Linked DNA regions of Caenorhabditis elegans. The protein of the gene in region 2 purifies or fractionates together with the protein of the main gene of each other region. This does not show direct contact. Each region holds a gene or a part of one and is shown on either strand. Other genes may lie near its edges.

The links. The genes of interacting proteins can lie anywhere in the genome.
Region 1: the proteins of Y110A7A.15 (region 2) and fkb-7 fractionate together in Caenorhabditis elegans (co-fractionation; one large-scale study listed by BioGRID). This does not show direct contact.

The regions. Positions count from the first base shown.
Region 1 is NC_003279.8:10,664,626-10,670,129, reverse strand, and holds the start of fkb-7 (peptidylprolyl isomerase), read right to left. Parts: upstream 2,323-5,504; 5' UTR 2,172-2,322; coding exon 2,129-2,171; intron 1,495-2,128; coding exon 1,310-1,494; intron 1,074-1,309; coding exon 999-1,073; intron 953-998; coding exon 854-952; intron 263-853; exon of another isoform or gene 113-262; intron 1-112. Other genes in the region: B0511.12 (Pecanex-like protein), read left to right, coding at 3,253-3,320, 3,473-3,641, 3,688-3,790, 4,110-4,286, 4,334-4,381.
Region 2 is NC_003279.8:5,110,577-5,116,080, reverse strand, and holds Y110A7A.15 (uncharacterized protein), read left to right. Parts: upstream 1-2,328; 5' UTR 2,329-2,342; coding exon 2,343-2,361; intron 2,362-2,377; exon of another isoform or gene 2,378-2,398; intron 2,399-2,412; coding exon 2,413-2,525; intron 2,526-2,578; coding exon 2,579-2,749; intron 2,750-2,801; coding exon 2,802-2,949; intron 2,950-3,063; coding exon 3,064-3,680; intron 3,681-4,224; coding exon 4,225-4,344; intron 4,345-4,447; coding exon 4,448-4,705; 3' UTR 4,706-4,947; coding exon of another isoform or gene 4,948-4,961; 3' UTR 4,962-5,012; coding exon of another isoform or gene 5,013-5,091; 3' UTR 5,092-5,170; downstream 5,171-5,504. Other genes in the region: elpc-1 (Elongator complex protein 1), read left to right, coding at 1-68, 218-1,303, 1,353-1,522, 1,778-1,882; Y110A7A.21 (MARVEL domain-containing protein), read left to right, coding at 4,948-4,961, 5,013-5,091, 5,224-5,391, 5,436-5,504.

The sequences.
Region 1 (5,504 bases), 5.6 Mb from region 2:
CTTTTTATAGAATTGATTAAAATCTGCGTTTGGCATGGTTTCAGGCTATAGTCTGGTAGGCACACAAGTAAGTAGGCAGGTATGGTGAGGCATATTCAGGCAAACATTGACAGGTAGGCAAGTGTATAGGCAGGTATGTAAAAAGGCAATCGCATAGGCAGGTGAACGCAGAGGCAAACACAGCTTTAGACTTTGCGTGGGCATGGCTAGGCAAGTAGGTAGGCAGGCACGTAGGCAGGCACGTAGGCAGAGGTAGGATCTTAGATAGGCAAGCTAGGTCAGCGCGCATCTTGGCAAGTTTTCAGGCTTTGGAACAACTTTGCCTAACTTGAGGCATAGGTAAGTTTGTAGGCTGCCTTCCTCGAGCCTAAATGCTGCGTTTGCTTGTTTGTTTATATTATTGGTACATTTTCATTTTTTAAACTGGCGGCCGTGGTGGAAAATTTACAAAACAAAAAATTGTTCCATCAATCATTTCATTTTTCTCAAGAAAACAAGCAAAGTAGGTTACTTGTCAAGAATAACTATTTCGAACGAACATAAACAGGGAAACCGGTTTACTCAACTTTAGCCAAACCGGAGAACACATAAAACCTGGTGCTAAGCATTCAAATACCGTATTTCCTCTATTAGTTTTCACCCCTTTGCTCAACTTTGGCAGCTCATATTTCATTTTGTTTTGAACCTTTAAATAATTAATAAACTACAAACTATAGAAAAATATCTCACAAAAATTTTATCAGTTTACAACTTTTCTATAGAACAAACGACTACTGAGATATGATTTGTAAAAGTTGAGCAAAGGGATTCAAAACTAATATAGGAAATACGGTAGAATATTTAAAATGCTCACCTTATCAAGTCCTGGCATAATCATTCCAGTTCCAAGTTGAATTGTGACTGGACCAGTTCCATATGTTTGATATACTTTTTTGTTATCTTCTGTGAACACCTGGAAATTGAAATCAAAAATGTTTTCAGAAGTGTGCATTTGTTACCTTGTAATGGAAAGTTACAAAGTCCAGTCGTTTTGCTTGTTGAGGGCACTTGGCTGGCACAAACGTTTTTTCGATCTGAAAACTTGACTGTTGTTTTTGAAAGAAGTTGAGTCGCACTGGAAATGCAGTTATTTTGAATCATTAAAATCAAATTTGCAGGTATCAAAACCTTACATTTATTTTTTTTTAATTTAGTTATGTGATGGAAACACAGATGTTTTTGGAAAAAGGGGTAAGTTGTGTCCCGGGTAGTACCTAGTTACAATAAGTAGGAAACTCCAAGTAAGCGTAATTATACACATAAAACTCACCTTAATATCCAATGGACCACCATTATCCATCTCCTCTAAATGTCTAATTTGAGCTGAGCTCATCGGAGCTCCTTCTCCTCGAATTTCAATTACAGGAATATTTTCATCAAGTCCTCCTCCACCAGTTGGCTGCCTTCTCCCACCTACATTCTTCGAGGATGCTCCATTGTTCAGACCACCAAGAACTGGAAAAAAACTTCAAATACAAATTTAATCTGAAATTCAGTAGAGGCCCGTGAATTCGCATTTTTTGCAAATTGTACACACAGGGCAACTTAGTAAGCAGATTTTCTAGAAAATTTTTAAAAACTTGTGAAAAATTAGAAACTTTTCCACCCATCAAAATACTTTGGGAAACACAATTAATGACCTGAATAATTTTAAGATCTACTGTTCCAAGTTCAAAGTTCTCCAGAAATTTTCTATATGGACTCATTCATAAGGTTTCCTATCAAATGACAGGTTCTATATATAGATAGTCCACAAAATATTCAATTATTGAGCAATTTTTGAACGGCCTCAATATGAATTTTGGGTTTTTTTGGGTCCGATTGGCTAAAGTGATTTTCAAGTAGTAGACTGTACATTCTCAATCAGTGCTGCATCCCATTGGTCAACTTTGGTTGCTCATATCTCAGTTGTCTTTTGTTTAGTGAAAAAAATTTCAACTGAAGAAATAATTTCTAATTCTTTTTCTATAGTTTTGTAATTAATTTTAATTGATATCTACAAAATGAATTGAGATATACCGTTTCAAAATGGAGCAAATTTAAATTTCTGTCGGTTGGTAGACATATTCCTTGGATAAAAAAAAGCTACCTTGTGAAGTTAGTAGAACTAAGAATATGAATAAAGGTGTCATATGGTGAAATACGAGTGGACTGTATGAGACAGTGACAACCACTTATTATAATACAAGAATATGGAGGATATGTATTCCTTTCCACAGACACAAGAGATTCCGAGACACAAAGGAAAGTGACTGAACATGACGACCTTGTTCAATTCCGAGTGACCCGAGCGGGAAGACGAACGGTATTAGAGGGTCATTATGTAGAGAAAAATGGAGAAGAGGTTGTGAGAATTTGGATTTCGGAAAAATTGATTTGTAGATTTCCAAAACATTGTAACAACTAAAAAGCAACTTTCTCGTAGTTTTATAATATTTTTTGGAACTTTATGTTTATTCAACTGAATATTAGTTACTTTTCCTATCAAACAAATATTTCTCGATAGTTTCTAGAGCTAATTAGAAATTTCTGGAACTTTCCGAAACTTTCTGTATACTTTTCAATTGTAAATACCTTATTTCATCTATTAACCTTGTATACAAGACGCATCTTAATTTGTTGCGTAATTTTATAAACAAAATCAAGCTTTTACAACAACTTTTGATTCAAGTTTGAAAAAAAAATAGTAAAATTTCCAGGAAACATATCGAAAAGACAAATCTCCTCCGTAACAACAAGACATTCATCAGAGGATACATAATAAGTCATTCTGTGTAAATAGAATAAAAATTCACTTTTTGAACATCCTTAAGTTAAACCGAAGTTGCGCATTAAACATACTCAATTTTTCAAATAAAAATTTTTAAAAACATTTTTACATATGTTTCCAATTGCAATTATCATTATTTTCATCTTTTCAGCATGATATTCCACTTTCTGTGCCTGCCAAAAAAAGTTTTTCCGAGTCCGCAAATGCGCGTCACACACGGTGTTTGCGTACATTGTCGTCTGTTTTTCTGTTTTTTCAGCTTGCTCGCTTTTGCTCACATTTCATTGATTTTCACTTTTTGAAAAGCCTTTTCGCTTGAATTTTGATTGATTTTTAGTTTTCTGCCGAACAAAACCAGAAATACATTAGAAATATCGATTTTTGCAGAGTAAAACCGGAGAAAATCGAGCGATTTTGGAGTCTGAAGCTCTCGAGCCGCCACGATGAGTGTTGGCACACACATCATCGAGGTTATTCGACAGGGTATTTGGGCATCGCTCACTGGTGGATGGTTAGTATTCATTTTAAAACAATAAAAAAGTTTTTTCGTTGAAAACAGGTTCATAAAGTTTCTCTAAAAATTGATTAAATTGCTTCGTTTTTTTATAGAATTAAATTATTGATTTTCTTTAGCTAAATTCCAATATATTCAAAATTTTCCAGGTACTATGAACCGGGTTTTTCAATATTCTGCAACACAATGCATCTCTACGTATGGTTTATACTTATTATTCTTCCCCTTATCCTTGGATTTGTCGCTTCTCAAGGTGTCTCACTTGTATTTGCTGCTTCATATACTGGATTTATTGTTTTCTTTTTCACTGTTATTAAGGTAAATTTCAGAAACGTTTGAAAATTATGTATATTTTAATATTCAGAGTGTTGTCGCCTATCTGCATATGATTTTTGATACAACAGATCCAGTTGTGGTTACAAGAACAATCAATGATTCAGTGGATGAATTGTACAGAGAATCAGAACGTAAGTTTTTATTTAAATTCTAGTTATTAAAAAAGTGTAAAATATAGAAAAAATCATAAAACAACTGCTTGATTTGAATGCCTGAAAATTTCGGAAAACACGCTCCAAATCAAATTGCAAAAAAAAATTATAAATCAAGAAACCCCGAATAATTAACAGAAAAATGTTCAAAAAGTGTTTTTTTTTCGAAAAAAAAGTTTTCTTCTGCCATGCTACATGTATTCAAAATTCTGAAAGTGGTTGATTTTTTTTTCAACTAATTCGATCATCGGTTTTCATAAAAACCTTAAAAACTAAACCAGAACTAGCCAATTTTCAGAACCTCCACTGGACGTTGAAATGATTGAACTCCGTGACATGGGATATAATCTACGTGGCTCCGAAAGAGCTCTTGATGGAAGACGTGAGCCTAGTGTAAGAGAAGAGATTGCTGCAAATATGGCACGTGCAAGACGACATTTAGAAGCAGAAAGACACGCAGATTCTGCTAGAGAAAGTGAGAGGAAATTGGGAGAAATTTTCCGATAAAAAACGATTTTTCAGGCCAATCAACTCCAATTCCTCAAATTACCTCGAAGTTTTGGGATTTTGGTGAGTATTAAACGAATTAAAAAATTTCGAAATGATTAAGTTTTTTCTTCTTTTCAGCACAGTTTTGTCGTGATTTTTTTTATTTTTGGTTTCGTAAATTTAGAATTAATTCTAGAAAAAATAATTCTATTAAAAGTTGTGATAGAGGTGATGGTGTTGGTTTATGGAAGCGCATTTTCAATTTCCTCTGTTTTGAAATATGAAAGAATGATTTTAAAAACCTCTATCATGGTCAAGTGCCGATTTACGGAGCTCGTGTACTCCTCGAGGAGAAAGCTGCATTTATTGTTTTGCAATAATTTCACAGTTTATAGCAAAAATGCTTGTTTTTTTGTGAAAATCGTTTTATTTATTCTTTAAAAACTATAAATTCTGGTTTTTTTTTAGTGAAATTCGATATATTTACAAACATTTCAAAATTACCGAAAACGTGAAATAATTGTTTTTTAAGTCGACTTTCACCTAAAACACTGTGCAAATTAAGAAAAAAATTGGCCAAAATGATGCTTTTTAGCGAAAAACTGCAATATCTCTGCAAATAATAGATCCAACTTGTCCTCGGGGAGTACACAAATGGACACATGGCCGAGGTTCATATTCTTCCATTTTTAAAAAGCGTAGCTTCTTGTTCGTTTTCAGCTGTCAGTTTATTGTGTTTTTAAATATATATTTCCTATTTTAGATTATAATGTGTTTTGTGTGAATGTTGTGTTTCTTCTAATAATTCAGTTTTTGTTCGAAATTCCTTATTCACAATTACATAGAAACTTGAAAGTGGAGTAGAGTCAAAGAAATTTGCTTTAAATGTCAGAAAATAGACCGTAAATTTATTTTAGAATACTGAAATGTTTAAAAAAAATTTTATTCGAAAAAATGAGTATTTTCAATTCACAACTTTCGCTTTAAATTGAAATTATTATTGAAATTCACTTTAAAACGGGAAAAAGTGAATTTAAATTAAAAAAAAATTATTATCGAGTCTAGTTGGTCAAATTTTCAACCAGGACTATGGTATTAGTGTTTTTTCAATAAAAAATGTCACATAAGAAAAAAAATCCGAGAAAGCCCAGACAATATTGAAATTATTCAAAAAAAAATCAAAATGAAGTTTTACAGTTATATT
Region 2 (5,504 bases):
GTTACGATCGAAACCATCGAAAGTTAACGATTGTTTGAAAGAAGTTCAAGAGCATGTTGAGAAAATTGGTAGGTTTTAGACCACGGGCGTCATCGAAAAATCAAAAAAAAAAATTAGAAAATTAGCAAATAAAAGGTTTAAGAACCCAAATTGAAAACCGACACCCTTGTTTTAGACTGAAATTTTGCAAATCTTGAAGAACGAACTTTTTTTTCAGCTGATCGTAAGGATGTCTTCACTCGAAACAGTCTACATCACATCTCATTCTTTGTGCCGGCTAAAGAGCTCTTCAACTGTGCTCTATCCACATACGATTTGAAGCTTGCTCAGCAAGTTGCAGAAGCTTCAAATTACGATCCAAAAGAATATCTACCAGTTCTAAACAAGCTTAATCGAGTTATGTGCACACTTGAACGACAATACCGTATTAATGTTGTACGAGAAGCTTGGATTGATGCAGTTTCCTCATTGTTTCTGTTGGATTCAAGTAAAGAAAGAGGTTCAGAAGAGACATGGTGGAATGATATTGAAGATATAATTCAAAGGGAAAAACTATATCAAGATGCACTGACCCTTGTTAAGCCAGGAGATCGAAGATATAAGCAATGTTGTGAGCTGTACGCTGCTGAATTGGAACGAAAAGTTCATTGGAGAGAAGCTGCGTTGTTTTACGAACTTTCTGGAAACTCGGAGAAAACTCTGAAATGCTGGGAAATGTCACGAGATGTTGATGGTCTTGCCGCATCAGCTCGTCGACTTGCAGTTGATGCTGGAAAGTTGAAGATTCATGCAATTAAAATGAGTACAACTCTTCGAGAAGCACGACAGCCGAAGGAATTGGCGAAGGCTCTGAAATTGGCCGGTTCGTCGAGCACTCAAATTGTACATGTTCTCTGTGATGCGTTTGAATGGTTAGACGCGAGTCGAGAAGTTGAAGTAGGAAAAGAGGAAGCGCTGAAAAAGGCTGCATTGAGCAGAAATGATCAAGTTTTGATGGATTTAGAACGAAGAAAAACTGAATTCGAGAACTACAAAAAGAGATTGGCTGTAGTTCGAGAGAACAAGTTGAAGAGAGTTGAACAGTTTGCAGCTGGAGAAGTTGACGATTTGAGAGATGATATTTCAGTTATTTCCAGTATAAGTTCAAGATCAGGATCATCGAAAGTTTCGATGGCGTCGACTGTTAGAAGGCGGAAGCAAATTGAAAAGAAAAAAAGTTCACTGAAAGAAGGTGGTGAATACGAAGATTCAGCATTGCTCAACGTGCTTTCGGAGAATTATCGATGGTTAGAGAATATTGGAAGTGAGTTTTGCTTTCCCTGGAATTTTAATATATTGTGACATATTTTCAGATGAGCTATCCCAATTGATTCTAGTTTTGATAACAGTTGGAAACTTCCCAGAATCTCTTAAATTGAGAAGCGCTTATGATGAATTTGCCACGAAGCTTCAGAAAAGCAAAGCTGCAATCTGGCCTGAAAGCCTGTCGGTTCAGCATCTTCCAGGACCACTTCATGCACTGGTAATTAAATTTGAAACGCTAAAAAATATTATCAAAATATATAAACTGACATGTGAAACGTGGCTTATTTTTTATTTTGTTTTTTATTTAAGCTCCTCCCATTTTTTAAAAATAAACTAATAAATTAAAATTTCAACGAAAGGTCAGGAATGGGAGGAGCTCCTCGAGGAGCTTAAATAAAAAACAAAATAAAAAAATCCACGTTTCACATGTCAGTTTAAATATTTTGATAATACTAATTGTGTAAATTTTCAGTTTGACCCAAACCAAGAGCCGTCGCCTATCCCAATGCCTCCCATATTCCGGCTTGAACCTGAACTTGTCGCTCCTACATCTTCATTTGCTTCAGTTTTCCCATAAATTGTTGATTTTGTTTTCTTGTATTGTTCTGTTGTTAACCGTTCTCTTGTTATTGGTAACTAAAGTTTTTATTCACAAAATTGTTCAACTTCATAGTTTAAATTTTCTCAGCAAAGGAAATATGGAAGAAAATGTTCTGTAAATTTTATTTAAATTATTCAAAGAAATTGAAAGACATTTTTTTTGGTAAAATAAAAATTTTAAATAATGCATTTCTAGGCTTCCTGAAATTAATTCTTCGCGCGCGAATGTCTCTTCGACTACAGTATTCCCGAAACCTGCACATCAAAGTGACAAAATGCGTTGGCAATTATTTACTTTTTTTGTAATTTTTGCCTAAATTTCCCGCTAAATAAATCGTGTTTTTTAAATTTAAATGAACTTTGATCCTTCTCCTTTTTTCCATAATTTGTTAAATATTTATGAAAACATTCAATGATTTTCAGCACAGCTTCACAATATGAGCAAAAAGGTGGATGGTACGTAATTAATTAATAAAAAATTTCGGTAACAAGCAACACCTATTTCAGATCTCGATCCTTCGGAGCTTGCTGAATTGACTAATGTCCTTCACCAAATAATTGAAGAACCTAGAGGTCGTGTCAGACTTGATGAAAAGCAGCTCGTCGTCGTAAAAAAAGCTGTACGGAACTTATTAATCAGAATATTATTTTTGGATCATTTTCTACTTTTCAGTACGATTGCAAAATAATCGAGAGAAAACTTGGTAACGCTATTGCATTCAACATCGAGCAGCAAAAGATCGAAGAGGTGAAACGAGAAAAAGATCGACAAGCGAAGGAAAGAGAAAAGAAACCTATCCTTCCCAGTAATAAAGTCACTCGTGTCACGTTCAAGGAACAGGATGTGAGTCGTTCATATATTTTTGAAATTTTCATTAAATAAATGTTATTTTCAGCTTTCGATTTCATTCTCCTGCGTCCAAATTAGTAGCCCAACTACCAGCAATGGCGGGAACCAACAAATTGCGAATAGATCGATGCTAAAAGCGAGTCCAAACACTACAAACGTTGATTATATCTCGTTCATATCGGAAGATGGTGGATGTGAGTTGTTGCGGGGTGTTGATGTCCCGGCAAGATTTTAAGCTATTTTTAAAATCACTGCTGGAGATAGACTCCACTTTCCAATCGAAAATTATTGACCGAAATACATTGCAGATTTGATGATGAGAAATAAAACGTTTCCTGCGCCGGATCTACTCAAAAATGAACCCCTCGGATATCCATTGGGAGTTGCCTACGACGAGATCCGTAATGATTGGCTAATTTGCGATCGAAATATGAACAAGCTACTGATTATGAACGTCGAAAAAGAGGAAATACACGTATGCAAGGGTGCCATTCAAAATCCAACCGCTGTGATTGTGTTCAAAGAAGGAGAAAGTGCGGCCATTCTGTGTTCCGATAAACCTAAGAACCTTCACAAAATTGTTATTTACAACTTCAAGGATGGAGGCGATTCGATGAATGTGTTCGCATCATACGATGAAAGAATTTACGATATGAAGCATCAATTACGCGGTCTTGCAATTTCGGTTGCCGGAAATATTCTTTCTCTCGAATTGTCATATACATCGAAACGCCTGCGAGTTTTCAAAAAAGACGTTGGAGGACGCGGTTTCGAGCTTTCTGGAGCAGTTTCCCCGAGCTTCATCGCTAGTTATCGTTCAACTGTTGCGATTTCGGATCTTGGATGTAATAAGGTGTTCATTTGCTGCTTAGACGACACAAATTGGAATAATATGTCATTCAATACTCTTCGAGTTCTCGAATCGGTTAGTTTGAAATTGAAAAATCATTTTTTCTTATTTAAAAAAACTGTGGTGTTTCTAACAATTGTAGTTTGTAGCCTGTGTTTTAGAGAACACCTTTTTGTTGCTTTTAAAGCGATTGTGGGCGGACAATGTCGAAGTACTGGATTACTGTAGTTTTGAAAAAAAATTCACTTTTGAAGGGATAGTCAGCGGATCATCGAAAGATTTTTTTCAGATAAAATCGAAAAAAAAATGATAGAAAGTTTAGAACAAATTCAATTTTTGTTTATATCGATGAGAAAGAACTTGAGAAAACATATAATTTTATTTAAGAATGTTCAATTTTTGTGAAATATCGAAAAACCAACACCCTTGACTATATGCGTATTCAAGGAAAAACGTGTTTGGCTTTTGAAGTAATTATTTCGGGATACTGTAGTTAAAAATTGAATTTTTGGTTTTTGAAAAATATTAGAGAGATGGTATGGTGTGGTATTACTGTAGCTTAAGACAATATGCACTTTTTTTTGGTATTAATATATTATTTCAATGACACAATTTTCAGTCACCTGATCTGCCGATAGATCAGCTCGCCAATGAAACTGGATTCCGATTCGTCTCCGGAATGCAATTCGACCAAAATGGCTATCTTCTCATTGGAGATGCAAAAGGTCATTCGATCAAGGTTAGAATTTTCAAAAAAAGTTTTTCAAGTATATGGAAAATTTTTAGATTTTTTTTGGTTTAAAATAAAAAATTTAAATTTAGAATATTTTTAAATGTTTCAGCTGTTCGACACTGACTACAGTTTCCTGCATCGTATCTCCAGTGATTTTCCTCTTCCCTATATGTCTTCATTCCATGTAAACAGTAAAGGCCAAGTAATTATCCTCGATGTGAACGCGGAACAGAAGCTTCACTGGGTGAAGATGGAGTCGATCGACGAAATTCAGAAATGGTTGCCACCGAAAGCTGAAAGACGTCCCACGCAAGGATTTTATCAAGCAAATGCTCGTCGAGGTGAATTCAAACGTTCACAATTTTGAGTTTTGTCGATTTTTCTGGATGTTCTCGTTTGAACCAGCATTTCATTTCACTTTCTACCCGACGTTTTTTTTATAATTGTTCTCTTTCTGTTCAATTTTTTTATTCAAATAATTCTTCAACATTCATAAACTACCTCCCCCCTATAATAAGCTCTCCCTATTAAATCAATATAATATTGACTCATAATTTCTTATCAGTTTTTATTGAGTCAACAACTCTCATTTCTAGACACTCTTTCCCCATGCATCCATCGAGGTGAACATTTGAGTTTCGATTCTTTTAATGTTTTTTATCCATAACTTTCAGAAAATCTGCATTTCCAAAACCTAAATTTGAGGTCTGGAAATTTGCAAAGTATTCCTCTGCTCTACAGATTTTTCAAATTGTGAGTTATTTCAAGTACTTTTTATCTGTTGTTGTTGAATAGTTTTAGTTTAGTAATGAACGTATTTTTAATATATATATATATATGTTTTGTGCAAGAAACCAAAAACTTAAAATTAGCATGGAATTCTAGTTTGGAAGCTTCGTATCCCTTGTGCTCATTGGACTTGTTGGCTCACAGTTTGCTCCAACATATGCTGCTCTTTTGACATGCGTCTTCGCAATAATCGGATCATCTGTATTTTTGTTGTGCGATGTTTTTAATATTAATGAGACTGAACCAGATGAATGGGTTTTTTGGGTAAGAATATATTGAATTATTTATTTTTTTCGAGTTTTCTACAGGAAAGCGTCTTCATTTCATCATTCTCATTTTTGTTCACAATCAATACACTGACCATGTTGTACAGTTCG